Linked DNA regions of Tamandua tetradactyla. The protein of the gene in region 3 interacts with the protein of the main gene of each other region in a pairwise test. Links are inferred from orthologs where the notes say so. Each region holds a gene or a part of one and is shown on either strand. Other genes may lie near its edges.

Region 1 (7,306 bases), on a different chromosome or scaffold from region 3:
AACTTATTTCTGTAGGGAAGAAGCTAGGGCTACCCATAATGAGGCCTAAGAATTGTTTCTAGGAAGTCTCTTTGTTGCTCAAATGTAGCCTCTGTATCTCAAAGCCCAACTCTGCAAGGAAAATCGTTGCTGTTCCCTCTACATAGTTCAAGCCACTCGGGTGAAAATCTCCTGACAATGTGGGGCATGACTCCCAGGAATGAGTCTGGCCCTGGCAGCATGGAATCAACAATGCCTTCCTAACCAAAAGGGGGGAAATAAGTGTAACAGAATAAGGCATCAGTGGTCAAGAGAGATCAAAAGTCTATTCTGGAGGTTGCTCTTATGTAAGCTTCAGTTAGATACTGCTAATTGTCATGGTTTGCTAAACACCAATCACCATCACTCCTGTTAACTCTTAACAACACCTAGGGCTAAGACTCTATAAAGGTTTCATTCACTAAGTTTGCCTTCCTGGAACATAAAATTCCCAGAGAGTTTCTAGGTCAGATAAATCCTAAAACTCGGATGGATCAGCCTCTCCAGGATATCATTTAATCACATCCACCTATTCTTTAGTGTAGACACCCTTCTCAACAAGAAAAAGTCTGAGCAGACATTCCCCAAAGATCTCTATAGATTGGGAGAAGGATTAAAGGTTAAGAAGGAGGTATAACAGAGAAAATGGGATTTAACAAACAAGTATGCTGCTGAATGATTATATTATTCTTTCTAGCTTCCAGTGTTTTGGAGCAGCAAGAAGGAAAAATCTGAGATGATGGAACAGTAGCCCATGACAAATTCTTGGATCTGTTCCATAACTATTTGTTGAAGTGTGCTTCGAAAAATTATTGCTTTTTTATTTCTTTGATTTGAAGATATATATATATTATAATTATATAATAAAAAAGTTTTAAAAATTGGGGGACTCAGACTTCTCAGTTTTAAAACAATGCAAAGTTAAAGTAAACATGGCAGTGTGGTACAGGCATAAGGACAGACATATAGACTAATGGAATACCACTGAAAGTTTAGAAATAAGCCCTCACATCTGATTTTGGACAGGGGTGCCAAGTGCACCCAATGGGGAAAGAATAGTCTGCAAAAAATGGTGCTGGAAGAACTGGATATCCACATGCAAAACAATGAAATTGGACTCTACATCACACTGTATACAAAAATTAACTCAAAATGATCGAAGACCTAATCATAAGAACTAAAACTATAAAATTCCTAGAAGAAAACATAGGGGAACACCTTCACAATGTTGTATTAGACAATGGTTTCTTAGACTTTACACCAAAAGTATAAGTAACAAAATTGAAGAATAGATAAATTGGACTTCATCAAAATTAAAAATTTTGCGCATCAAATGACATTATCAAGAAAGTGAAAAGACAACCTACAGAATTGGAGAAAATACTCATAAATCAAACCTCCTATAAAGGCTTAATATCCAGAATGTATAAAGAACTCCTACTGATCAACAACAAAACAATTTTAAAAATAGGCAAAGGACCTGAATAGACATTTCTCCAAAACAATATGCAAATAGCTGACAACTACATGAAAAGATGCTCAACATCATTAGCCATTAAGGAAATGCAAATCTAAACCACAATTTGGGGTGGGCCATGGTGCTCAGCAGGCAGAGTTCTCGCCTGCCATGCCAGGGAGACCCGGGTTTGTTTCCCAGTGCCTGATCATGCAAAAAAAGAAAAAAAAGGAAAAAGGAAAAAAAACACAGAAATTAAAAAAACACAATTAGATACCACTTCACATCCATGAGGATGGCTATTATTTTTTAAGAATAAGGATAATAATAAGTGTTGGTGAGGATATATAGAAATTGGAACTTTTGGGCATTGCTGGTAGTAATAAAAATGGTGAGCTGCTTCAGACAACAGTTTGATGGTTCCTCAATGTTTGAGAAACGCAACTCAAGGAGAAACCAGACTTTGCATATATTTACCAATAAATAAAATCACCGGGCCTCTGTTTCCTCGATTATAGATAAGCAAACTGTATTAGATTCCTTGGGCTGCTATAACAATAGCACACCAGGATTAAAGCAACAGGAATTTATTCTCTCATTTCTCAAGGTAAGAAATCAGTGTTGGCACGGTGGCACTCCCTCAGAAGACTGTACAGGAGAATCCATTCTTTCCCTCTTCCAGCCTTTGGTGGTTCTAGGTTGTTCTAATTTGTAGAACATCTACACACATCGCTGCTGCAATGTGATATACCAGAAATGGAATGGCTTTTAAAAATGGGAATTTATTAAGTTGCAAGTTTACAGTTCTAAAGCCATGAAAATGTCCAAATTAAGGCACCAACAAGAGGTTACCTTCACTCAAGAAAGGCTGATGAAGTTCAGGGGGTTCTCTCTCAGCAAGGAAGGCACATGGTGACTCTGCTAGCTTTCTCTCCTGGCTTCTTATTTCAAGAAGCTCCCCCATGGGTGTTTTCCTTCTTCATCTCCAAAGGTCTCTGGCAGTGTGGACTCTGTCGATTCTGGTGGCTCTGTTGGTCCTGATGACTCTAAAGCTTTTTCCAAAAGGGTTCCCTCTTAAAGGGCTCCAGTAAGCAAACCCACCTTGAATGGGTAGAGACACCTCTCCATGGAAACTATCTAATTTAGTGAATTTACTAAAAAGCCTGGACTTTGGGGTAGGGGGCATAATGAAGGTCTTACTAAATTCACTGAAAGTATATCCCCCACAGGATCTTTAAAAAGAATCAGATTTGGTTTCTAGACCTGCAAGGCAGAGGACCAACCCTGGTCCAGGTAAACTTAGCAAATGCAGTCACTATGTAAGAACCTGCCCAAGTGGCAGTCAATCATCCCTTCCTTAGACACTGTATTAGTCAAGGGTCTCTAGGGAAACAGAACTAACAGGAGATAAATACAAATATTATGAGACTTTATAAAAGTGTCTCATGCAAGGGTGAGGATGCATGAGTCTAAATCCCATAGGGCAGGCTGCACACTGGCACTCCGATAAGGATCTTCAATGAATTCCCCAGGACAGACTGGTTGGCTGAATTAGAGATTAAAGTTGTCTCTTCTAACTGCTAAAGTTATCACCTCTGCCTTAAAAGACTTCAATTGATTGGATTAAATATCTCTCATTCTGGAAGGCACTCCCGTTAGTTGATCATAGGTGTAATTAGTAATAGATGCAATCAATTGACTGATGATATAAGTTCACAAAATGTTTTCACAGTAACCGTCAGGCCAGTTCTTGGACCATCACCTGGCCACCATCACCTGGCCAAGTTGACACATGAACTTAACCATCACAGACACTACCCCATTTCTATATGCACCTTTTTGAACTGCAACAACTTGTACACCTTGAAACTCTCTGCCTTTCAGAACCCTTCCTCCTCTTCCTAGACAGGATTTAACTTTGAGGCCTCCCAGAAATCCTGTCTATTAGCAAAGTCCAGCCAACTTCAAAAAGTGATAGCAGCAGTTTGTGTGCCTGTCACTTGTGGTCACTTGATAAATTAAGGTGCTCATTCAGCATAAATTATAGGTCATCCTTTCTACTTTGCCTTCAATAACACTAAATTCAAGACCAGATGCTCCTGGCCAAGAGACAGCATATTTTACCAACTGTGTATAAAATTCTGAGGAACAGAGAAAGAGCCTGAATGCAAAACTAATAAAGTGAAGGCAAAGCTGGAATGAATATGCAGAGTGATTGTCAAAACATATCACAGAATCCAAGCCTAGACTATTCTAAGACAGTTTTGGAGCAGTGGTATAATTTTTCAAAAATCAAATTTATGATAATGTTATAAGAGTTATAAAGTTGGTACTATGTAGTGAAGTCATTAAGTTTCAGTAAAACCCAATGGAGAACAGAGCTTCATGAAGGAGATTCAGCTAAGATGAGTAATTGAATTCTCACTGTTTTCTGAACGGCATCCACTTTCTACTTTCTTATTGCTTATTCTACTTATCTCTCCCTGATAGATTTACAAATGTTCTGTAAGGTTTATTTCCTTCCACACTCCTTTCAATCATTGGGTTTCAGCCCTTTATGGACTGAGTAAGCTTACAAGCTTACTCTTAGAGGAAAAAGTATTTCCATATTCAGAGCATTCTCAGTATCTCTGTAACAGTGAATAAGGTCACGTACTATGTGAACGTAGTCCCACTAGTTGTTCTTAGGAGTTCTTTCCATTGTGTATTCTCTTGTTTACAATGCACGATTTCTCCTCATAATAAAGGCATTGACTCAACTTCCACTTCCAGGCAAGATGGACTGGATTTACTGAAACAACTAAAAATCAAGACAGGAATGTATGAAACAAAAGTTTCACCAGTGGTTTTCAAAGACTCTGGACACCAAGCAATGAAGGATAGTGATGCTCAAGAAACTGTACACAAACAAGGTGGGTACTATAATTGTCCCAGTTTATAGTCTAGAAGGTGTTGCAGGCAACAGCACAAGATGTGGGAACTCAGGTGGAGTCCAGAGGATTCCCTAAGTTGAGAAGAGAGAGAAGTGAGCGTTCACTTGGAAGAATACAGTACAGAAAGCTGCAAAATGAGGGGACCTGTAGAGAATCATGCCGAAGTAATCAATACAGTACTATTCTGCACGTGAGTGTGAGGAAACTTCCCAAGTATGGAGAAAAGAACCACTCCACCAAACTAGAGGGAACTGCATCGAGAGGGCAAACAGGGCCAAGAGTTTCTGTTCCCACCAGCCAGAATGAAATAACACCTTAACTAATGGGATTAAAACTCTGAATTAAGAGGCAAGAACGTTCTTGCCGCAGTAGTAGAAATAATCAGAACTTGATTCAATGCCATTGTGATCTTACCTAACAAATCTTAAAAGCCAGACCTAAGAGGATCAAACTTTCCAAGTAATTTAACTGTATCCTGCCACCACGACCCCCCACTCCCTCCTGCACCCCCATGAAGAGCCCAAGAATAATTATAGGCATACAAAAATACCCTGCCAACAATCAGGTAAAATTCAAAATGTCTGGCCTCCTGTAAAAAAATTACCAGGCATGGGCGGGCCATGGTGGTTCAGCAGGCAGAGTTCTCACCTGCCATGCCGGAGACCTGGGTTCGATTCCCGGTGCCTGCCCATGCAAGAAAAAAAGAATTGCCAGGCATAAGAACAACAGGAAAACACAGTCCATAATGAGGAAATTAATAAATGAAAACTGACCAAGAACTGATATAGATATTAGAACCATTATAAGATCCTTAAAGTTAATATAACTATCTATTACATAATCAAAAACTCAGAAGAAAGATTGAACATGTTAAGCAGAGACAATAGAAGATATAAAAAAGACCCAAACTGAACTTTAGAGATGAAAATTACTATGTCTGAGATAAAAGATACCCTAGATGGAAATGTCTGTGTAAAGATCTTACCACACTCGTTATATTAGTGTTTCTCTCCAGTATGGATTTTCTGAAGGCCAATAAGGCATGGGTTCTGATTGAAAGCTTTGCCACATGCATCACACTTATAGAATTTCTGTCCCTTCAGAACTCCCTAATGTTTAACAGGACTAGAGGACAGATCAGAATGTCCCCCAAGTTCCTTATAGTCCTCATATCTGGGTTTTGTAGGCTTTTTTTTTTTTAATCCTCACCTATTATTTCCAAGAAATCACTTTCCAAACTGCTCCCTGTACAACTGAGTGTTGTCCTCCTAACGTCTCTAAAGTACCTCCACAGGCATCTCCATCCTCCAGTCCCCCAGGAACCATCCCAGAGTCCTCTCAAATAAGCACCAGGCCAAATCTCAGAGTACAGACAAAGTGCATGACAAAACTAGATGGTACTGTTAGGTCGGGGGAATGGGGAAGGTCACCATGACTCGAGCTGTGTAAAATGTGCCGCCCCTTCTAGACATCACCTAACCCCCTTGCTTAAAAACCGCCCGCACCAGGACCCAGCCCAGCGTCAAACTCACAACTCCCTACCTTGAGTTCTGTGAGCGCTGCCCGGGAGCACAGGAATAAACTCGCTCACTCTAAGGTTTCTTGGTCTGCCTCTTCTCTCTTTCACCTTCAAAACCTTTCAGGTACCAACACTACTGAAACAAACAAACAAATAAAAACCCAATAATCACTGGGGCAGTAGGTGGTCCTTACCAGCTGATAACTCTGTGGTGACATGCTTTCAGGATATTGTTTGTTTGGGGCATTGAGTCAGTGTTCTGCAGCCTAACTGGTCAGCTTGGCTTTTCTAATTTCTTTCTTCTTCCCCAGCAGAAACACTTGTTTAGGCAAGAATGCCTTCCAGTGTCCCAAAGACTTCTGTTAGTCTAACAGTACTGTCTTCATCTTTGTTTCAACTCCCATAGAGAATACCACCTGTCTACCTGGAGATGAAGGGGAGAAGAAGAGAGCTTCCGGTTGCACGTAAAATAATTTAGGTAGGGACAGCAAGGACCAAATGGATTACTATTTCAAAATCTACCCATTCATGCTTTGAGATCCACAAAGTACTATTTTTTGATGTGGCCACTGCTTCTCACTCTTTGTTGGTTTCTCCTTCTCTCCTCAACCTCTTCTTAGCACTTATGACTACCTACCTATGTTTTATATGTATTTATTTTCTGTCTCTCCCCACTGGAAATGTATGTTCCATGAGACCAAGGACTTTACCCTTTACTTAAGACCCAAGTGCTTAGTGTCTGCTGCATGGTAGGCATTCAGTTAACCAGTGATCAAATGAATGAATAGAGGCTGAGATATTTAGCCAAGAGTTTAATGAAAGCCAGGAGAAAACATACAGAAATAAAACAGAATAATGTACCTTGCTCACTCAACAAACATTTTTCTAGAATCTAGTATGACTCCAGCTTTAGGTTAGGTGCTATGTATACATGGTATCCATACAGATATGGCCTTCTTTCCCTTGTGGAGCCTAGTTCCAGCTTTAGTTCCTATATAGGGGTATCAACTCTTTAAGTTCAAACCTAAGAGACTGAGGGCCAAAAAGAGATTTAGAGTTTCACTTTCCTTTATACAAACCTAATTTTACCCACGGTGTTGTATAACTGGAATGACCACCTCCTTCAGGGGAGACGGCATCCCCCACCTGCACATGACTTTGCAGGTTCGGTTTGATTATAGTGTCATACCAGAGTTCAGTCATCCCATCATCTTGGCAAAAGAACCACTCACAGTAGGCGAATTTGCACAGAAGTGATTTAAAACCATGTTATTATGGCAATGAAAACTGCCATAAACTCAAGAACAAACCAGAGAAGTCATCCACGAGGTCATTTAGACATGAGAGATTATTCCTTATCAATCTCAATGGAAATGCAAA
Region 2 (7,162 bases), on a different chromosome or scaffold from region 3:
TGCTAACAAGCCTCTACATTCTGTAGCAATGGGAATTTCCAGTTCACTGGCAACAACTTCCTGGAGGCAAAGTCTGACAGGCAACCAGCTCTCTTCTGTCACCTTGGCCATGAGGACCTGTTGCAGGCCCTGAGTCAGGATCCATGGCAAGGGACCCTTCTTCCCTGGAGTCACTCCCTCCTGGGGAGGGAAGGGAAGAAGGGGCATTTTTAAGGACTCGTTCCCACCCCACTGTCCACCCCTGGCCTGGAGTTCCCAGCTCTGCGTCCTCTGGTGCTGTGGTGATGGGCCTTAGGTCTGTGTGCCAGCACGGCACCCCGGGCACCGGAAGTCTGCCTCCCTGGCAGCCTGGATGCTGCAGCCCACACAGGCCACATGGAACCACACATCACAACCATCACACTGAACCCAGGCCACTGTCTCTTCTTGGGGCAGGCTGCAGCGGGGGGCTGCACAGGGCTCCCCGCCCCCAACTGCAGGGGGAGCCATGGGGACAGTCACTGGGTGCTTCCGAGGACGCCCACGACGATTTCTGAAGGAAGTTGAAGGGGAAGACACAAAAACCAGGGTCACTGGAAACCTGGGAGCCTAGGATTTGCCCCTGGTGAACCCAGGGTGACCCGGAAACTTGGAAAGCCTGTAGGGTGGACCCAGATAAGCTCTGTAATGTAAACTTGGAAACTGTCCCCTGAACATGTAGGGTGGGGCTAGAAATCAGTCCCTGAAAACCTTACAGAGTGAGCCCAGAAATCCCCCATCCTCAGGCACTCAAAAATAGGGTTAAAGCTGTATGAAAGTAAAAGGTGGGACCCTAATGCCTGCCCACTTGCCCAATCTAGTTTTATAGCCATTCCCCCATCCCACCTACCTCAATTGCTCCTATGGATTTTTTTTCCCCCCCGTTAATAGAGTTGACCCAGGTTTTGCTGTTCTATTCCACCAGTCTACCTCTCCCACGCCTCAGCCTGGGACTCAAAAAGGCAGGAGAGACAGGACTCTTCACTCACCCATTGGGTGTCAGTGGTGCCTTCTCTCCGCGTAGTTTCTTCCTGGGCTCTATGTAGACTGGTGGGGGGCTCTCAGGGGCCCCCCTTTCATCATCCAATTCTGCCAGCACTCGGTGGGCTGATTTCCTCCGGTTTCTGGGGGCTGGGGGTGGGGCAGAAGGGGAGCCCCCCACTTCCCCGCAGAGAGTGGGAGGGGGCAAGCTCTGTGGCTCCCTCCCACCCCCACTCCGGGAGAAGGTGAGGGGCTGGTGCTGGAGCTTGCTGAGGCTGCCGATGGAGTTGAGGATCAGCGTGGCCTTTGGGGCAGGGGAGAGGGTACTGATGGGCCGCTGCGGAGCCCCCTGGGAGGGCAGCATGGGCCGGAAACCACCCCCAGTCCCCACTTCTCCCCTAGATCGTGGGATGGTGATGGCAGCAAAGTCCTGAGGTTTCACTCGGACTTGTTGGAACATGAAGTAGAACTCGGAGGGACTGTTTCCTGGGGGTCCTTCAGGGCCAAAGGTCAGGAGGTCACCATCACTCAACTCCAGCCTGTGACCCTTTGGGAGTCGGACATTGTTGACCAAGGTTCCTGTTGGTGGGGACCAGGCAGATGAAGAGAATGGCAAAACAAAACCCGGAAAAAAAAATCCAGAATCAGGAGTGGGAAAACATCTGTTAGATTTTTTGGGGTCTAGTAAGAACATGGAACCCTGTCATTCTTTCCTCCCTCACATTCTAAACCCCTCAGCGAATGACACCAGATAATAAGCTCCTTGTAAGCTGGGAACAAATTCATTTTTCTTGGGGCACATGGAGGGAATGGACTCTGCTGAGTCCTAATCTCAGACAGGGGCTCACTCTCACCCAACTCAACTAAAGGACAGCACAGGTCAGCAGCAGATGGTGTTCAAGCCCCAGCTCTACCACTTGTCAGCGTCGACAAGTTTCTTAACCTCTTTGTGCCTCATTTTTCTCGTCTGTAAAATAGGAATGGTCATCAGTGCCCACCTACATTCAATGCATGTAAACAGTGGGTACGAAAAATATTGGCTACTGTAATTATGTAATCCCCACAACAGCCCCAACATCTAAGAGGTGACACGACAGGCCAGAAACCAGTGACAAGCCCTTCTGAGACTGAGACTGTAACTGAGTTAGGGAAAAATACACAGGCCCAAAGCATTAAAATAGAATTCAATGAAAAGCAGGAAGGAACGAGGTGCCTCAGCAAAGCTGGAAATGGGATCAAGACTGAGTTTGGCTCTCAATGGCCCCAGAACATCCCCACTGTGACACTTCTCTACTGATGTCCTAGGCCCTGGATCTACTTCCCAGCCCCCTGTAGGGGCTAAACAGGACCCTCTGGAGGGGACTCTTGACACTGCACACTTCTGATGGGAATATGTAGGTCTGGACCCTAAATGCCCAATGGGAGGGTGGCAAGGGGATCCTTAATCCTCTTAGCTTGGACCTGGGGGGGGGGGGGGCTCAGGAGCAAGGACGTCCTGCTCACCATGGCTGCTGTGGTCCTCCAGGCTGACCCTCCAGTCATCGCCCCGGCGCTCAGCATGCAGCTCTGCGTGGACCCCAGAGATGAGGCCGGGTTCCTCCTGGGGCCGCAGGGCCACATCACACAGGTCTGCCCGGCAGCCCAAGCGATAGGTGCAGCCAGCCCCCGTGGGTGGGTGGAAGGTGTAGAGATCACCACCTCGGCCGCCCCCTATGCGCAGCAGCTGGAAGCAGGGCAGCATGGGCGGTGCCCCTCCACACCACAGCTTCCACTTCAGGAATTCATCACCCTTCCCACTCCTGGGCCAGGCACGGTGGTTCAAGTTCACTTCTCAATCTGATGCGAACTTAAATTGTACTTTGTGCAGTTTCAACTTCAAGCACACTCCCTGAGTAGTGCAAAATCAGTGTAAGCAGCCGACGTATGCAATGCAAAATTTGCTGTCTAGCAACTGTGCAACTGAAAAATTCGGGTGGGGTTCCTGGTACAACGCAAAACCAGGAACACGCCTTATGGCACCGCAGATGAGCCGATTCTCAGGCCGCAAAATATTCGGGGAGCCTCTGATCTGTGCAAGACAATGATACAATAGACAACTTCTGAGGAAATGCAAACTGGGGGTCCTGCTTCTGAACAATACCAGCGTATCACAGTGTAACTTGGAGAAAGAAGCGTCTTCCTGTCAAACCTGTTTATCCAAAAGGAGTACCCCTCCCGCTCGCCTGCGCCTCCCTTTTCTGGCCAATTCCTCACTTGTAACTAGTTAATTTGGAACCCCGCGGTAAGTGAATCTACTGTCACCTTGAAAAGGTAGTGCAAACCGGTTCCTAAATTAACTAACAAAACGGATCTAAAAGCTCACCTTTACGGCTTCTCCGCGGGATAAAAACTGCAGGAGCTCCCAGAGATCATACAATTCAAACCCGACCTTTTCTCTCCTGGCCCGCTCAGTATAATCTCAGAGCGGTTTGTCCTCCATGAGCTACCAGCCGGTGCAGCGGTCTCTGGCGCTCCGGCAGCTGTTTGACAGCGAGGAGGCACTGGCCGGTGGGGCGGGGCCTCCGAGCGCGGGCAGCGCGCGACCCCGCCCTCGGAGTTCCCGGGTGAACGCCGCGCCGAGGGGCCACGCCCCTCTGGCCGCTCATGATTGGCCAGCCCATTCGGCGTTGCTCCACTCCATTGGGCGGCACACAGGGAGGCCCGAGCTCCCGCTTTCCGCGTTTTCTGATTAGTTCACTAAGTTTCCCGGGTTCCCGGAGTTGGGAGGAGCCGTCAGGGCGCGGAGGTGCTAGAACACCTTTATTGGCCCCAGTTTTAGACGCTACTACGCTTGCGTGCTCCTTTTCTCCGCCCCCTTCCGGGGTGAACTAGTCTTCTGAGCCTCCCGCCAACCCGCCCGCTCTGCGCAGGCGCAGTAAGAGGAGGCGGCCTTGGCCCGGGAACCTAGAGAGGTGGCGGTGGCCTGAGGGGTGGGGTGGGGTGGGGTGGGGAAGTGGCGCGTGCGCAGGGTAAGGAGCGTTTGGGCGTAGTCGGTTGGGGGTGGGAAGGGTCGGTTGTGGGCGGGAAGGGGCTGGCTGGGGTGTGGGGGTGGGTACAAGGGGTCCATCGGGAAGAAGGTTCAGGGGCCTGGTAAAGGAACAGATAGGGTGGTCAGAACAGCCTTAGATCTCGGAATCCAGCCGGCTGTAGGCGCGGGGATAACTGGGGTATCGGAGAAGAGCGGGGGTGAGAATCGAGAGTGTAGGGAGACGAGAGCAGGCATCTTTGAGCCGGTAGATGAGGGTGAGAGTGACGGACAAGGATAATTTCTTCAGGAAAAAAACAGATTAGGACTAGGGAGGGAGTGGGGTATGAATCTCAGGCTCTAGAAAAAAATAGATCAATTCGGGTGGGATGGTGGAGGTGAGATCTTGAAGAGCCCACTCTTACCCTGAGACTCCGAAGAGGGGAGAGTGGGCAATAGGAATGGAAACTGAGGGGATAATAGAGAGAAACTGAAAGGAGAATTGCAGAAAGGGATTCAGTGAAATGGCAGACAGCTGGCCTTTCTGTCAAGGGGTCTAGGGCTGTGTGGATTCCCAGGGATCCTGGGGAGGCATCTAGCCCTACATGTGGTGGCACTCGTCTGCAGCCAGGCCTTGGGCCAGTGCTTTCATAGGGAAGGACCCAGGAGTCATGGCTTGGTGGTGTCTGGATGGGCTTCCTCAAGGCCTGGCTGAGCCATGGAGAGAACTCTGGAGGTTGGGCTCACAGCGCCTGCACTCCGTGCGCCCTCTCTCACCTCAGACCTGCAGGACCAGCAGGGACTCTAGAAACTTAAGGAGGAGGGTAAAGACTGCCCAAAATACTAGGAATATGAGTAGAACCTAAGAGCTTTCCTCAGCTTGTGTCAGTAAATCCCCCCCCCCCCCACCTCATGTTATTGCCAGGGTTCTGTCAGGAATCAGGGTGGGACAAAGAGGTGATCTTGGGGGTTTCTCCTTTTGGAAACTAGGAGAAGAGAAGCTGAATGTCGGGTGGACCAGTTATTATTTAGGAAGGATAACTTTATCATAGGGGCTTTCTCTTTGGAAGGGGTGTGAAAACTGAATTGGAATGTCCTTGTTTTTCCTGTTGTTCAGGGGATCATGGATGGCTGGAGACAGAATCTAGAGCCTTCAGAAAGTGCAGAGATGTTTCGAACTTCAGGTCAGTGGGACCAGACTAGGGGACTGGTGATGACCTCTCCTTGGGAAACTGACCACCTGTGCCCTTGTGATTCCTCAGGTTCCACTAGGCTAATTCCTCCATCCCACTTCCAAGCTCGGCCCCTTCATTCTGTGCCAAGAATGGCTTCTACCTGGGTCTCGGACATTCCCCTGGTGCAATCCCTGGCCCAACAAGAGGTCTCAGAGAGGCGGCTAGACAACCAGAGACTGCAGGCGGACATGTGGGAACGATCTGCTTCTGGCGATGGGCAGGAGCCAGCACGGAGAGACAGGTAGGCATCTGGCATCACCATTTCCTTAGCTTGCTCACCGAAGACTCTGTTTTACCAGAATAGATTCCTTACCCTGTGTCAGCAGTTGGTTCCATAATTTTTTTCTTCCTTTTTCTATCACTTGAGTTTTTTTTTTCTTTTAAAAATGTATACAATAGGGTGCACAGGTGGTTAGGTGGTAGAATGCTTGCCTTCCATGAGGGAGAGCCGAGTTTGATTCCTGGACCATGCACCCCCCCCCCCCAAATATATATATATATACAACATAACATTTCCCATTTTAATCACTTTCACATACACAATTCAGTGGTATAAAGTTTTGCTAATGGATGGTGGTGATGGTAAGATACCATCGTGAATGTAATCAATATAATTTATTCACTTTTACATAACCAGTTCTTCGGTGCCTACAAACTATAAATAGTAAGGAAGTTGCTGGAGACTAGGGATGAGATAACAAAGATGAATGGGCGAGATCCTGATATTAAGGAGTTTAAAATCTTAGGTCAGTTCACCCCAAAATCATGAGCAACAAAACAAACAAATGGGTAAATTGGGCTTCATCAAAATTAAAAATTGTTGTGCATCATAGAACATTATCAAGAAAGTGAAGACAACCTACTGATTGGGAGAAAATATTGGGAAGTCATGTATCTGATAATGGTTTAAGATCCAGAATATAAAAAGAAATCCTGCAACTCAACAACAAAAAGACAACCCAAATGAAAAATGGACTTTAATAGACATTTCTCTTAAAAGGCACATGAAAAGATGCTCATCATTAGCCATTAAGGAAATTAAAATCAAAACCACAATGAGATACCACTTCACACCCATTAGAATAGCTTATTAAAAATAAAAAATAGCAAGTGTTGTCAATGATGTGGAGAAACAGGAACCTTTGTACTTTGTTGATGGAAATGTAAAATGGTTCAGCTACTGTAGAAAACAGTTTGGTGGTGCATCAAAAAGTTAACTAAAAATTATCATAAGGCTTGGCAGTCCCACTGCTTGGTATGTACTCAAAAGGAAAAAACATGGACTCAGGTAGGTATTTGTACACCAGTGGTCATAGCAGCAGCATCCAGATAGCCAAATACGGTAGGCAGTAGCAACCCTAATGTTCAGCTGATGAACATTTCTTAAGAAGAGATGTTAAGAAATGTTAAGACTCTATAAAGGTTTCGTGCACTGAGTTTGCTTTCCTGGAACCTATGATTCCCAGAGGGTTCCTAGGTCTGAGAAATCTTGAAACCCAGAGTGACCAACCACTCCACAATTATCAATTAATTATATCCCCCTGTCCTTTAGTGTCTGCACCACTTCTCAACATGAAAAAAGTCAGAATGGGCTTTGCCCAGGGATCCTTATGGATTGGGAGAGGGATCATGGAAGAAAGAGGAGGTATAACAGAGTAAATAGGATTTAACAGAGAAGTATGACTGCTGAATCACTATATTAATATTCCATCTAGCCTCCAGTGTTTGGGAGCAGCTAGAAGGAAAAATCTGAGGTGATGGAGTAGCAACCCATGACAAAGTCTGGGATCTATTCTGTAACTACTGGCTGAAGTGTACTTTGAAAAATATTGCTTTTTTCTTGCTTTGCTTTTTATGTAATATTTTACAATGAAAACTGTTAAAAAAAAATAAAAAGAAATGAAATTCTGATATATTCCATAGA
Region 3 (7,891 bases):
CCTCCAAGAGCCATCTTTAAGAAAGCTTCAAGGCCTGCTAAGGGTGAAAGCACCTGGCCAGGGCTCCTGAGGTCAGGAGCAGCTGCATTCTCAGACAGGTGCGATGGGAAGGAGGCTTGGAGCCTACAATTCCTCAGCGCAAATTCATCTCTACCCAGTTCCTGAGGTTCTGTTGTACAGCCAACCGGAGTTTGAAATTTATGGGACAGATTCTGCTGGAGGAACCGAGTTTGGGACCCTCGAGGAAGTCACTGGTGAGCGCCATTTGCTCCAGAAGCTGCCGAGGATGCAATAAAGACAACAGATGGAGCTTTGCTTTCTTTTCAAGGTGGTGCAGGGGCAGCCCAGCCTGGGGCTGTCTGGGCCGAGCAAGGGTCAGGGGCCAACCAGAAGTGGGCATTTTAAAACCAAACATGAGGGCGTTGTGGTGGTGGCTCAGTGGTAGAATTCTCCCCTGCCATGCCAGAGACCCCCACTGAAGGCTGTGGCATTCTGTAGCCCACCTACACTCAACAAATATTTGTTGTTGGCCTTCTCTTGACCTGTACTATGATAGAAAGTAGGATGAACCTCTCTATTTAAGGCATCTGCACATATTTTTACATTCTTATTCAATTCCACATTTCTGTTGTATTTTTTACAGCAGACTTCTATTTTAAGGGCCTCGATCCTATTTTTACCGAGGGAGCCGCCCCCATTGGAGCTTAACATGGTTATTTTTCTTCATAGCACTTTCCATGACCTGGCAAAATATATTTACTTATTGCCTGTCTTTCCCTAAGACTCTAAGCTTAGTGGGGTGCTTTTTATGCACCTACAATGGTGCCTATAGCTGTTGAATGAAAGATTTTCCTCTTTCTGTAAAGCTCTTCACACTCACGCCAAGGTTCAAGGTATACAGATTTTTTAAATTAGAAAGAAACCTATTAATACTATCTCTTATGACAAAAACAAAAGATGCTGCACTGGGGACATGGGTTCCGATACTGTAGACTCGGGTTTAGCTTTGGGCTGGAGAAAAGTTGTAATTGCCTGTGACTCTAATGCCTGCCCCTCTGTTACCTGGCATCACCCAAGTTTAGCCTTTCCTACCAGTGAAACCTCATCTGTCTATGGTGATTGTTTTCAAGATTTGGGGCATTCCCTGGAAAGTTCCATCAGTCCTGTATTTGGACTTATAGGCACTAAACCTTCGAGTCATTCTTTTACTTTCATTGAGGCTTATTAAGCGAGTGTTGGCTACATGCCTGTTTCTTGGGGGTGGATATCAGAACAATCAGCACTGTCCCTGCACTCAGTGAGGTTCCTTGGGGGAGAATGGACACCTCCAGGACCAAAAGGCTGTATTCACGAGCCTCCTGTAAACTGTGCAAGGCTCTACTTGAGCTCAGAGGGCTTTGGATATCAGGGAAGTCTTCCTGGAGGAGGTGGGATATGAGTGGGATTTCAACAGGCAGAGGGGGTGGGAAGGGCTAGCCAGGGTGGCAATCAATAAAAGACAGGCCAAGAGAGGAAGGGAACCTCTCTTGGGGAAGGAGGCTGAGGGTCTGGTTGGGCCACAGAGGTGAACTATAGGATGTAAACTGAAGAAGTGGGTTAGTGTCGCTCTGGGTGAGCCTTAAATGACCGACTGTGTGGTTTGTACTTTTTCACAATGGCATCAGGATACCAAAGCAAGTTTTGGAGCCAGGGATGCTTGTTGCAAAGTGGGATTTTAGGAAGATTATTCTGAGGGTTGTTGGTGGACTGCTTGGGTAGAACCCAGAAATTCAAAGAAGAAATTTGAGGGAGAGAAGTTTTGGGAGGGAGAGAAAGAAATAGGAGACTTTGGACTGGGAAGACATGGGGAGGGGGAAAACACTGACAAATGAATGGATTTGTTTGACAGAGCTTATGAAGGGCATTTGGTGACTGTATGAATGAAGTGGGAGCTGGGGAAGGCGATAATTTGGGGCAATTTGACAAGGGCTTTGTGCCTCAGTGACTAGAAGGATGATGCAGTGGCAGAAAATGAAAATCATTTTGGAAATTTTGGATAGGGCAAAAGGAGGATCTGTTTGGGTTTTAGACACAGAGAACTAGAGATGGTGATGGTATAATAGGTGGACATATCCAGCAGGCCAGTAGCAACCAATCAGCCATCTGGTCCCTTGTCCATTCTGATCCCTGCCCTGAGCTGAGGGCTGGAGGCCCTTCAAGCTTAGCAGAAACTACTGATCAAAGGAATATGGAGAGATGAGGCTGAATCAAGCCCTTGATGACTTTGAGGTGTCTGGTTCATCTGACTCAACAGAGAGTTAAATATGTCCCATATCTTCCACGTTTTCCTAACAGGCCTATGTGCATCCCATCACCATTTGGGAATGTGATGTGGCCAAAAGTCCTCATTTGGAGTTTGAGGTTGTATCCAGGCCCAGTTGAGCCCTGCCCCACTCGGGGGTAGTACCTGGCCTCTGTTTCCTATGTCTCAGAATTTGGGGCGGGGAAGATATTGGGGTGCTCATGAATATTCTGAGAGGCTGTACCATTGACTCCCTTGGTTCCAGCCAAGAAAGACCTTTTTCTGGGACCCATGCCTTTGCAACCCCCTTCATAATGGTTTTGAAGGCAGAAAGGTGAGGCAGCCCACTTCCACATTGGCTGATTTTTAACTTCTATTCCCTTTTGAGGCTGTCTTCAGTGTTCATTTCCACTTTATTTTCCCTGGATGGGCATACTGGAGGCAGGGGTAGGGCAAAGGGAGCTCGCTGTTACTGGTCCTGCCCTGCCCCCTGGGTCCTCCTCTCAGGGAGAAAGTCAACCAGCAGGGACATGGAGATCAGTGCAGTGCCTTCGGCATCTCTGAGAACCCTGCCAAGCAAAGCCCTTTAATTAAGATGGGGCCAACACAGCAGTCCTGGCAAACATCAGTTCTGCATCCAGCTAGGTGGGAGGGGCGGTGGCTGGAAGATGATGCCATTGTTTTCTGAGGGGCCTGGCCTGCCATTAGGTGACTCAGTAAGTTTCCCAGCACCTTGGCCAGGAGGCAGGGACAAGACTGCAGCTTTATCTATTTTTTTCCTTTTAGGGTGGGACTGCTCTGCTTTGGCACTTGGTTCACAGGAAAGTGTTCAGTAATCATCCCCATGCCTGTGATCCCTGCAGAGACCGATAGCCTGCATGAGCTTCTATGGTGTCCCAGGCCCCAGACCTTGGGGGTAATACCTGCTTAGGTTTAACCCCCAGCTCCTCTTTACCTCTCTGGACCTCGTTTTTTCCAATATGTAAAATGGATGCAATAAGTCCAGCCTCACAGGCTTGTTGTGAGTGCAAATGAGACAATGTGTGTAAAGTGCTTAGCTCTGTGCTCTAGCCCAATAAATGGCAGTTACTATTATTATTATTATTCTCCTTTCTTGAGCTATTAGATAGTGGTGGTTAATGGTGAGGTTTCTGGACTGAGATGATCCAGACTCAGTGGGTTTGAATCTTGAGTTGTCCTCTTTCTAGTTGAGTGACCTTGGGCAACTTCACCTCGCCGAGTTTCAGTTTCCTCATCTGTAAAATGGGGATAATAACAGTCCCCATTTCACAGGGTCATTGTGAGGATTAAATAATGCAGGTCTAGTGTTTAGCACAATTGCCAGCACATAAAGATTGCACCAAAAAAGTGAACTACCATTACTATGATTATCATTTTTTCAACCCTATATCTGTCAGAGTCTAGATTAAGGTGTCATCTTTCTCACAAATTCATTAACCACTTCTCTGATCTTCATTGATTTGGGCACTTCTTGCAATCCATTTTGCATTGTTTCTGTTCATGTCCATCTCCTTCAAAAGGGCCTCCAGGATCACCTTGCCATTTCCTTGAGGCTTGTCTTACAAATAATTTTTTGGGTCCAAAAAACCTCAAGAATCCAATCCCCAAAGCACTGAAATAAGAATTACACTGTATATTACACAGCAAATGTTACTAAAATTGTTTTTAAAACAGTTCTCTTCCTCCAAATTTTCACTCCCTAAACAGCTGACCATCTCCGTTTTTCCCCTGTCTGAGCTACCTCTCCCTGCAGAATATATATATATATTCTGGGTTCTTTTGGGATCTGAGAGAGATGAATACACATTCATACACACATGACTCAGCACATATTTAAGTAAATATGTGCCCAGATATATACAATATAAAAATAAACATATATATGAATCCTCATGGGACCCCCAACAAATCCATTCATTCATTCAACAAATATTTGAGTTCTCATTGTGTCTGGGACAAAGCTATCAGTTGGGATAAAGAAGGCATAAGAGGTTTCATTTTTCACGGAACTTAAATTCTATTTGAGGAAGAAAAGGACAAATACACAATTTTGCCAGTGGAAGTGCTGGAAAGACAACACAGAGCTTAATGAGCGCGATTACGGGGAATTAGAAAACTATTCTGTTCTATTGGGTGATCGGGGATGGTCTGGGAGGTGAAATATGCGTCGACCTTCATTTTATAAGTGGGGACACTGGAACTTGGGCACTTAAAGGCCTTGGAGGCTAAAAACAGGAAGGCGGCCTCCCAACTGCTCTACAGTGGTGCCACTTCGCCGAACCGCAGATTGTTTCGGTGAACCTTGTCAAGTCCAAGCCGGGTTCCCTGCGGGTCCGAAGCGCTTGCGCAGAAGGACACCACCTGTCTGACGTCAACGCGCCGGGTCCAGACCCGCCCCCCTGTGACGCCCTCCTTGCCACCGCCCAGCCCCGTACGCTCTTGCGCTTGCGCGCATGCTCCGAGCCCCGCCTCCGAGCGTCACAGAATGGCCTCGGACACCCAGGCAATCTCTGACGTGTCGGGGAGGAGCCGGGCGCCGAGGTGCGCGGAGTGGAGCTCAGGGCTGTGGAGAGGAGCGGAGCTGAGCGGCTGGGCGGGCCTGGCCAGGCCAGCGGAGCAGAGACGCGGGTCGAGCGGCGGCGAACATGCGCTTTTGACACATTGAGGTGAGCCTGCTGTGCTCGGGGCGCTCCCGCGGGGGCCGGGCCAGGCTGACGGCGCCGAGGCCTGTCCCTGGGGATCCCGCGGCACCGGGAGCTGCGCCTGAGGCCCCGCCGGGCCGGGCCGGGGCCGGGGTTCGGGACGGCCAGTCCGGGGGGTGGGCAACTGTTTCAACCGCTCTAACTGTCCCCTCCTCGCTCTGGACCGAGGTGCGGCCCGCTAGGGACGCCTGAAAGGGAGCGAGCACAGCGGCCTCTGGAGGAGGTGCCGCGGTCCCAGGGTGGGGTGAGGAACGGAGACCGGACGTGGCCCCGTGGGCCGGGGCGCTGGTGGCGCAAGGAGTAGCCCTGTTAGAGGTGGCAGCGGCGCGCCCAACCCTCCACCCCCCTTAAGAAAAAAAAAGAAAGAAAGAAAAACCTCATCTGGGAGGTTTGGAGCCGGGTTGGGTTTGGAGTCCTCAGCGCAGCTTTCCCGCGGGGGGCGGGGACGGAAGCTGCTTCGGGGCTCGGATGGCATTGCCATGACTCCCCCCCGGATCTGCTGAACATCTCTTTCGGAGATCAGGAAAGTGTTATCATATGGGTTCGAGTTGCTTGTGCTCGTTCCTTTCAGGTTGGTAAGCAACGAGATAACCCTTTAAGTTTTGCCAAGGAAGTGAAGGTTCATTTTTCACGACTGATTGTTACGTTCCATTTCCGTGGCTCGTGTACACCCCTTAGAACCCTCTTGCCAACATCCTTTGATCCTCATCATCCTTTGGTTGTGACTGATTCTGTTAGCGCCTTAACGGATGGGGAAATGGAGCCTGCTGGGGGAGAGATGTTAAGTGATTTATACTTGGGTACAACCAGCTGGTGAGTGGCTTAGCTTGGCTCAGAACTTAGGTCTCCAAGCTTGGAGTTCTGATTTCTTTTCAACTGACTTTGATACCCTTCTCGGCTAGGAAGCGAGGCAGAAAATTTGACTTGTCAAAAGATGGAATACCAGAAGCTAGTAGATAACTTACTGAAATATTTTTGAGCGCACTGAAATGGCTAGTATAAAAACCGCCACTCAGTTATGAGAAAAATCCTACTCTGAGGCTTATTCGTAGGTTGTTGGTTAGTTATTTTGTCTGATTAATTGTGTTGTTTTAAATCGATTTATGAAGTAGGGTAGTATTAGCTGAGTCTTGAAATGAATTAGTTGGTGGGGACAAAATGCAGCTTTAAGTTATGAGTTGAAGAGAAGTAAAGGGGAACTGAGTGAGGTATCTCTTCTGAATTATTATAAAATTATTATTTAAGCAAAAAGACACTTTTGGCTGGCTTTGGTTATAGGTTGGTCAGGTCCGGATTCTATATAGAATTTGCTCAGTCTTTGAAGCTGTAGTTCTGTTTTGACTTTAAATAATTGAAGTTGGATAAGGAATGCTTAAAATAGCTAGATACCTTGGTAGAAATTTAGTTCGTACTTTGGTGACATCTGCAAAATTTATTCTCATTTTAAACCATGCTGAGATAAATTTGATTACTAAAGCTTAAAATTACTTCTGACATGAATTTCTAGCACATCAAACAGTAATAAAAGAAGTTTGATAGGACCGAAAGGGAGGCCATATTTATAATCAACTTGAAAAGTTAAAAATTCTCCAAGAATTCTGGTAAAAACTCACGTATTACCTACAGTGAACTCCAGAAGTACTCTTTCAGCCTCAATAATTCATTCTACAACTATTAGCAAGAAGATAATATGCAAAATAGATTTTCTTACCATTGTGCAGAGTAGTTTCCTTGTAAATATAGCATTGTAGACAGAGTGTTTTATACTCGAATGGGTTGATTTGAGTCACTGAATAGCTGAAGGTCATTCACAGGATGGTAAAGCCTGATGTAAAATTTGTGATACTTTTGCCATCCGTTGAGACATGGTACTAGTGGAAGATTGGGGGGAAGGGTAAGTATATAATTATCTGCCTTCATTTCAGTGTCAGAACATTGTGGATGTACCATTAAAGCATTTCTTTAGCAGTATATTTTTCTGTATTGGCTAACTTTCTATAGCTTTACTATCTCTAGTTACATAGATTCAAATAACATGGTGAACACATCCTCCCACTGTAACTTGAAGCACTTTGAACATTCTGTTTTTAAAGCCCCTGAAACATTCCTTTGAATATCTGCCGTCATAGCAAATTTTTGTCATTTTATGAAGAGTCTAATTTTTAGAAAGGGTAAGTCTGATGAATAAAATTAGAGTGATAAAGCTATATAATACCAGTCAGGAAACGATACAAATGAAATCTGACCGCAAAGTAAGAACTTTTTGTTTAGTTCTTAACATGGCTCTTAAAAGCTATTTCAAAAGGGAAATTTTTAAAATGTTTTCGCTAATGGTAGTATCACTGGAATATGCATATAGTTTCCTGAATTTTAAGGAATTATTTCTATGTTAGAATTTTGAAGCATATTTACTTTGTGCTTACACTTCATAGATTAACTTCTGAATCATCAGTCTACTACTTAACGTACATTTGTGCTGTGTTTACTATGTGCCAGGCTCTATTCTAAGTACTTTGCAAATATTAACTCAGTTTTTAAATTAATTTTAATTATTCTCATTTTACAAGTGAGGAAATGGGGCACTGAGTGGTTGAGTAACTTTCCCAAGTTTGTTGAACTAGTAAGTGAAATCTGAATTAAAACTCAAATTAGTTTTAGAGTTTAGTCGTGTAACCACTATGCTGTCCTGTACCTGTGGTTCCCGGTCAAATGTTTTTACTGGAAAAGAAGGAAGTAATTTAAGTAAAATTTTCAGATGTAGTTTATAATACTGTTTGAGTGGCCAGTAAGCAAGTTTACAAGATTGACTAGAAAAATTGTAGTCAGCTTTCAATTTACATAATAAGATTCAGTAAGAAAATAAAGGAACTTGTGTGACATATGAACA
Region 4 (7,739 bases), on a different chromosome or scaffold from region 3:
AAAAAACCCAGGGACTGCCTACCAGAACATTACTGATCCGGGAAGGAAGCAAGCCTTCCAGCCTCTAAAACAGCAAGACAGTAGATTCCTGCTGTTTAAGCCAAACTCACTGTGTGGCTTTTGTCACAGCAGCTGACAAACTGAGACAAGGTTAAGGGATGGAGGAAAATGAGGCAGGAACCTATCAGACCTAACATGGCCAAAACGGACTCATGATTTCACCTCCTCCTACAGTCTACCTTAACTCAGTAAAATGTTACCACCAGCCACCCAGTTGCTCAAATCAGGAAACCTAGAGTCATCTGTGATTCTTCCATCTCATCCTGCTCTCCCATACCAGCTCTACTTAAATCTTGTCCATTCTACCTCACAAACTTCTCTCCAATGTATTCTCTTTCCCATCCACAAACCACAACCAACACCTCTTGCTCAGTCTACTGTACTAGCTCCAAACTGGCCTACCAATTTCACATTTGTTCCTCCCTTCAATGCTTCCTCAGAGACAAAATAAAATCTGAATCATTTCACCCCATCTTACCAGCCACTAGAATCAAGCCCTATTCCTTAGAATAGCCTACAAGGACACGAATTTTTTGTCCCCTTAAAGATTTAACTTTAAATCTTAACTTCATTCGATTCTTCAGCCACAGTAGCTGCAAGGACTTTCTTTCCATTAGTTGTTCCCTATGCCTAGAAAAAGCAAAAAGCATGACCAAAAAATTGTACTTGCAGCCAAGTTGACATCCATGTATAAAGACAACAGAAAGATATTTTCAAGCACTCAAACCTGGAGTTTTCTTGGAGAAAGTGTACTCATTTATGACTAATCAAAACATGTAATTCAAGAATGGGAACTGTTAGGCGTACTTGAATTAAGAAATGAATTCACATAAATATTACACTACAATTAAGGGACCCACGAATTAAAGCTACAGAATAGAATGTAAATGCTATGATCTTGACATAGTAAAATAATTTAACTTAAACTGGGACAGAAGGGAAAAAAGGGAATGGGAATTAATGTCTTCGTCTTTCATGGGGGGGGGAATCTATTCTAGAATTGTCTTCAGTTGATCAATTACTGCACACAAGTACTGTCCCCATTTTACAGAGGAGGATACTGAGGTATACAGACATTCATTAAGGAGCTTGCCCAGGGTTACAGACAGTAAGTGGCAGGGCCAGAATTCTAACAGGAGCAGGCCAGTGGCTCCACCACACTATATCAACACTCAGCAAGAAGCTGCTCAAAAATGAAATGTATCTATATACATCAATATGAAAAAAGATTCAGAACATATATGTGGAATAAAGAAAAGAAGATGCATAAGAGGATGAATGATTTCAAGTGTTTTTAAAAAGACATGTCAAAACATACTCACATGCATGGAATGTATATGGAAGTATAAATGAAACTAAAGCATTCTGAAGACTGCGACATGGCAATGTATTGGGGGTTGGTGGAAGGATCCTTTTTACTTTTATACTCTTCTTCACTGTTTGATTTTAATAGGTGCTAAAGGTTAATCCCAATGCATCACTCATGAAATCTATATGTTCTTAGGTTTATATTTAACTACTGTAGAGGACTCAGCAATAAGTGTTAATCAGCATCTGTATTGAAAATGGCAGAAAAAAGATTTCCTTCCCAAAATTACAGTCCAGAAAACATTCTCCCTACAAACGTCAATGAATTGATGATGTATTTCTACCACTAAAATATTTGTAGAATTTAAACAAGAACTTCAGAGAATAGACCTCATCTTGAAAAACCACAGGTCCAAAAGAATGCTGTTTTTATACCAACTCAGAAAAAAAGAACCACATAAAACCACTCTTTAAAACAAATACTGTGGCCCATGCACTTCCCAAAAAGAAAAAAACAATTCAACAGATAGTGCTGCAATAATAAAATAATCACATGGAAAAAGACTGAAATGTGACCCCCACCATACAGCAAATAAATAAATAAAACACTGCAGAAGCGACAAACTGAGTTGAGTACTGCCTTCCTCTTAATTCTTTCACTCCCTCCTCTTCTTCAGTTTTGATGGGGATGTTGGTGTCTTTACTGCAAGCCTTTCTTTTACCACAGCACTATTTTGTCTGCTAAGGCTGTTAACACTTGGAACTGTAAAAATATTCGCTGATACAAGCAGTAAGATCTGAGAAATCAATCTTGACATTCCTCCGCAGGAAGCAGCTAGCTAAAAAGCTTGATTTCTTAAACCACTAACAAATACTATCTATTAATTAATTAGCAGCCCCCTAGTGTCTATGGAGAGTAAGATCCAATGGCTACACCCCAAACGCTTACAATCTAGTTGGCAACTGATTTCTTAGTTAACGCTCACAAAGATGCTTATTCAACCCCTACTCTTCAGCGATGAAGGACACCAGAAAAGGACCCAGTTCTCGTGAGCCCGAGGTATAGGGGTGACTTTCCCCTTCCCTCTTTCCTAGATTATCTCACTCTTTTAGATTTCTCTGCCTTTAAAGTCCCAGGGCGGCCCCCCAAAAAACCCCCTCCTCCTCCCCGGCCGCGCTGGTAAGGAACACCCAAGAGGGCGGCCCCAAGTCCCCAGCCAGCCCGGACTCACTGCGCAGCAGGATGCAGTTGGTGTCCTCCTGGCTTGACACCCAGCTCAGCGAGTCGCCCAGCGGCCGCCGACAGCCGGAGCACAGGAACACCAGCGGCCTCTCCGTCTCCTCCTCGTCAGCCTCCGCCATCTCCTCGGGCCGCGTCTCCTCCGCGCCGGCCGCCCGCTGGTTCCCGCTCAAGGAGCTCCACATGCCCGCCCACTTCTGCAGCAGCAGGTGGCGGCTCGAGTCCTCTGAAAGCCGTCTACCCAAGAGCGAGGAGTCGCTCCACTTGCCCTTAACGTCACACGCACAGCTAGGGGAGGAACAGCCTCTACAGCAACCGAGTGACGAAGAGCCCGCCATTACCTACGAACTGCCCGCGCCTTAGAGCACCAAGGGAAAATCGTCATTGCGCGTGCGTGGGGCGGGGCGAGGCGAAGCTGGCCGAGATGGGCTGACGTCTGAGGGCGGGGCCTGACGGCGGAGCCTGCTAGCGCGCATGCGTAGTGGTCACTGCGCCTGTAGCTCATTTTTCATGTTTAAGAAATTGAGTTTGGGGAAGGTTGGGGGATGGTTTGCTTTCAGAAAATAACCGGCCCCAAACTAAATCACCAACCCTTGGCGAGGACCTTCCGATTGGTTAGTAACAGCAACCAATCTCTCCTTCAGCAACCCCACTTCCTCTGTGACCTTTTCTCTCCTTGCAATAAAGCAACCGCCACGAACTTGAGCGTGCAGAAGAATTACTTGGAGAACTGATTGAAACATAGATCTCCTTCACAGATTCTGTTTCTTAGGGGCCCTGTCATTTGCATTTTAACAAACTCCCTCGGTGTCCATGTTGCCAGTATTAGCAGATCCACTTTTATTTTAATTTTTTTATTACAGCAACAACTTTTCTCTTAAGATTATGTTCATGTATTTTCGTATGCATTTCTCTTTTTTAACATTTTTTATTGTGAAATATAACATATACACAAAAAAGCAATACATTTCAAAGCACACTGTTACAAGTAGTTACAGAACAGATTTCAGAGTTTGAAATGGGTTAGTTTTCCACAATTTTAGGGTTTTCCTTCCAGCTGTTTCAAGACACTGGAAACTAAACGAAATATCCATATAATGATTCTGCAGTCATACTCATTTTGTTAAATCCTATGTTCTCTATTGACACTCTTACTTCTCCATTGATCCTTCTCCCAATCTGGCAGATCCACTTTATTTTTTTAATTCAATATTTTGGCAGATCCACTTTTGAGTGCCTCCATTCTTTCAGTTTGTCTGATGAGACTGCAGGGAGGGTGGGGAGGCTTAGTTTGAAGTGGAGAAAGCAGGGGTTGTTGGGGAGCCACCTAATCCAAGTCATTCCTTTTGTTCATTGTTGTTCCTGAAATAAGACCCTGGAAAGGACCTCAGGTCATTCAAACTAGCACTGTAAGGAAAAAGTTAGAGAAGAAGCTGCTTGGGCAGTGTGGTGCTGGAAAGCTTGGAAGTGTTTCAGCAGTCAGAAGCAGACAGCTGTTTGCCCCTTCCAGCGGGTGAGCATGCTGTTAAGTAAAATAAAATGGCCACCTGGATTAAGTGTCCAGGAAGGATCCTCTTTCCCAGAACAGCTTTTCCAGAAGACAAAAACAATTGACCTGCAGAGGCTTTCAGAGAAAATGGAACACATCCCTACAGAGTTGCAGATTAGCAACACATGGTGATAACCCAGTTTCTTCGATCTGGTAGAGATTGCTTATCAGAATGGACAAGCTTCCCATACTAATCAATGTATATATGCTCTGCGTTTTGTAGGATGCAACCCCCACCGCACATGACATGGAAACTTGATGCTAGCCAATAAGAACACTTCCTTGCTTGCTTCAGGTTGCCCTATATAAACTCCCTCTTTCTACCCCGTTGGTGGAGCTCCCTTCTTTCTGAATGGAATTCTGCCCGATTCATGAATTTCAATAAAGCTGTGAGATCCTAAATTACATGAAAAGTTTTTTGTTTTTAATAATCTTTCTTGGGTAGTAAGGACAGATTTCTTCAGTTACCCCAGAAAGCCAGACTCTGACTTAAATGCATGACAGGTCAGAGGAGAAAGACTGGTAGAAAAGAAGCCAAGCTGTACTGCAGACCACCTGGCAGCATAGAAGAGGAAAAAGGCACCCCCCAGGACCTACGCTCCTTATAACTACTCTTTGGTGTTTTGATTAAGTGCCCCAAGTCACTGCCACTCTGCTTGATCAGATAGACCATTTACATAAACTTTCTTCCAATTTTAGTGCCTTTGGCCCCTAGCAAAGAGCAAAAGTTATAAAGTCAGATGTTCTAGTTTGACATACTCCTCCACCAGGTAATAACTGTGTGGATAACTGTGAAAAAAAAAGCCATTTGCCTTCAATGAATCTCATATTTCATCAGTTAAATCGGTCCTTACTGCCTGGCATCTTAAGAGGATTAAAGGATATTACAGACATGAACATACACCCACTCTCTACTGCACCATACTGGTGTTAACTAATTTCCAACTGCAAGTAAATACTCCAAATAGATACTCCTTTTTTCACCCATAGAATTGCCTTCCTTCCCTCTGCTTCTTTTGGGAAGCTCAGCCTGAGCTTCTTGCTTTTTTGAAACATGGTATCTCTGGTACAACACTGTAACCCGCAATGTCCTCTTTAAGTAAGTGGGTGGTAACTTTGTAATTCAAGGGATGATTATCTTTGCCTCAGACTTTGGATTCCTATTGTCAACACTTCAATTCTGTGGTGAGATATCCTAGTAAAGAAGAAACACAAAACAGGGCCCCATGATAACTTTCAGGGGCCCTAGGCACCTTGCTTTGGTGGGTCCCTTCCCTCCAAAAAAAAGTAAATGAAAAATTAAAAGTTACATTTTGTGATTGCATTGTTATAAAGACAAATATGTTCACATTATATATGAAAATATTTTCTTTGACCTAAGAGTTTGAGTTTTTTTCCTTCAGATTTTAAAAGAAATCAAAACATTTTCACTGGCCTCTAAAAATATCGTGGGCTCAGAATACTGTGCCTCCTGTGCCTTTTGGAGAATTTGGCCTTAAAACAAAACAAATTCCTCTAGAGTCACAAGTATGCTTGTATTATGAATATAAAGTACTTAGGTTCCAAAAAAAAAATCACATTTTATGTGAGGGCAAACTTGGATGCTTGAGGGAAGAAGACCTTGGATTGGGTAGTTATTGCCTCCTGAACCTCCATTTCTACTCTTCCTTCTAGTTACCCAGCTAGGAGGTTTGGGCAAGACCAAGTCCAACCCCAGCTACCTCCTCCACCACCACCACCCAAATGCCAAGAATGGCTCCCCAGTGGTTTGACCTAATCAGGATGATCCATTTCTCTTCTGTAATGATTGGTAGAAGGATGGCACCTACCCCAGACTGAAGCCAATCTGATTATAGGGATTGGCTCATGGGTGAGCACTTGCCCAATCAGAGTAAATCTCAGTAACACCTTGTTCAACGGTTGAGGGAAGAGATGTCCTCTTGGTGAACAAAAAAGCACATACCCAGGTTGCTTTAGGCAACCATCTTATAAAACAAGGAGAAGGGTAGAGTTGAGAAAATCATGAAGAAACTGAGCATCCAACTTATGAACTCTTTCAGTTATGTGAGCCAACAGAATCTCTCTATTGTGGAAGCCAGCTTGAGCAGTTTTGTGTTGTTTGCTCGTAATTACTAGCAACAAAAATGTATTTAACAGTGCATTAAAGTTTATATTTTACTGAGACTCCAAAAGGAGGTGAAAATGAAATGCCCAAGTGCCAATGAGATAGTGTTCTCCTCCCCTGGTGGAAACTTCAGAGTAAATATCTGAGAGCTATTTCCTTTCTGCTCTTGAACCTCCTCCTGCCTTGGAGGACATAAAGGATGGGAGAAAATGGAGATCAAAATTACTTAGTGAGGATTTCCTTGGAGGTTGCTGAGCTGTAAGTTCCATCACTCCTCCCCAAGAGAGAAGGTGGAAGGTACCTGCCACTTGCTCAACTTGGCAGAGAGGAGGCTTTGAGGAACCATTCATAGAAACTGTGGTTTCCCAGGAATCTGGGGACAAAATGGCCAGCAAGAAAGCCAGGCTGTTGAGCTGTCTAAATGGCAAAATAAAGGTGAGTCTGAGCGGCTGTAAACCAGATCTAAACTTTGCTGATTGTAAGGCAACATAGAACCGTTTTAAGATCTGCCCAAGAAGAAAACTTGGAAGGATGAAGGCTTTCCAGCAATAAGTGTCCTGGTGTGAAAAGGGTCTCTGGACAACCAGGGCTGAGAGGAGAAGCCAGCCCAAGGGTGGACCTCCCTAGATCATAGGAATGCTGGGGGGCCCAACAAAGAATCTCTGAGGGGCCAACAGGAGTCACTTCTAACCATGTATCAGACCAGAGGGTGCAAAACCAGCATATGACTGAACCAGTTCAAGTAGAAACCATCCTGTTCCCTTCATTCCCTGAAATGTCAGCCTAGATGGCCATGGAAACAAGAGGAAGGAGGTGAAGTAAGAAAGGGAAGAGCTAGTCACACACCCTCCTCCCACACAAGGTGGAAGCCCACCTGTAAGTCCTATCTAGGGGAGGGGAAAATGATTATCCTTGAATGAAGATTCAATGTGAATTAATGCCTTGGAATGTATGCTATTGTGTCTTCGTAGTGATTCTGTTTGCAACTAAAGTGGCTGTCAATTGTGCACTTCCTGAGAGAATCATCACAAAAAACAGGTGGCACATTCAAATTTCAGTATTATGAGAACAGTTTCTTTACAGTGTTGAATGACAAAAGTGGAGACAGCATGTGGGACAACCCCAAAGATTACTGCAGGAGCTTGGGTCACTGGCATTGAAGCTGACACTGTCCCTCAACCCACAAGATGCAGGGAGAGAGATGGTACAGAAACCCAGAAGTAAAGAGCTGTGAAGAGTTTGCTACCTTATAAGGACACTTTTCCATGGAGGGACACACCAGGTGAGTGACCTCACAGAACATGCTGAGAATTGGATCATGTCCCCCACAAGACATGTTCACATCTCAACCCCTAGTCCTGTGGGTAATAGCTCACTTGTAAATGGAATCTTTACAGATGCTACTAAGATGAGAACAAACTGAATTAGGGTGGACTTGAATCCAGTATGACTGGAGT

What was found.
Region 1: the proteins of NDEL1 (region 3) and ZNF197 interact in a two-hybrid assay, tested with the Homo sapiens proteins (2 studies listed by BioGRID and IntAct). The link is inferred for Tamandua tetradactyla from reciprocal best matches to the Homo sapiens genes NDEL1 and ZNF197.
Region 2: the proteins of NDEL1 (region 3) and CCHCR1 interact in binary tests that used the Homo sapiens proteins (3 or more experiments, as listed by UniProt). The link is inferred for Tamandua tetradactyla from reciprocal best matches to the Homo sapiens genes NDEL1 and CCHCR1.
Region 4: the proteins of NDEL1 (region 3) and MIS18A interact in binary tests that used the Homo sapiens proteins (3 or more experiments, as listed by UniProt). The link is inferred for Tamandua tetradactyla from reciprocal best matches to the Homo sapiens genes NDEL1 and MIS18A.

What each region holds. Positions count from the first base shown.
Region 1 is NC_135341.1:42,317,990-42,325,295, reverse strand, and holds the start of ZNF197 (zinc finger protein 197), read left to right. Parts: upstream 1-4,253; 5' UTR 4,254-4,386; intron 4,387-6,332; 5' UTR 6,333-6,404; intron 6,405-7,306. UniProt on the Homo sapiens protein: May be involved in transcriptional regulation.
Region 2 is NC_135331.1:86,079,010-86,086,171, reverse strand, and holds the start of CCHCR1 (coiled-coil alpha-helical rod protein 1), read left to right. Parts: upstream 1-4,053; 5' UTR 4,054-4,608; coding exon 4,609-4,827; intron 4,828-5,120; coding exon 5,121-5,187; intron 5,188-5,265; coding exon 5,266-5,479; intron 5,480-7,162. Other genes in the region: TCF19 (transcription factor 19), read right to left, coding at 292-532, 1,008-1,578, 2,503-2,740. UniProt on the Homo sapiens protein: May be a regulator of keratinocyte proliferation or differentiation.
Region 3 is NC_135332.1:62,284,612-62,292,502, forward strand, and holds the start of NDEL1 (nuclear distribution protein nudE-like 1), read left to right. Parts: upstream 1-4,800; 5' UTR 4,801-4,968; intron 4,969-5,141; exon of another isoform or gene 5,142-5,817; intron 5,818-7,891. UniProt on the Homo sapiens protein: Required for organization of the cellular microtubule array and microtubule anchoring at the centrosome. May regulate microtubule organization at least in part by targeting the microtubule severing protein KATNA1 to the centrosome.
Region 4 is NC_135336.1:92,330,916-92,338,654, forward strand, and holds the start of MIS18A (protein Mis18-alpha), read right to left. Parts: upstream 3,022-7,739; 5' UTR 2,947-3,021; coding exon 2,601-2,946; intron 1-2,600. UniProt on the Homo sapiens protein: Required for recruitment of CENPA to centromeres and normal chromosome segregation during mitosis.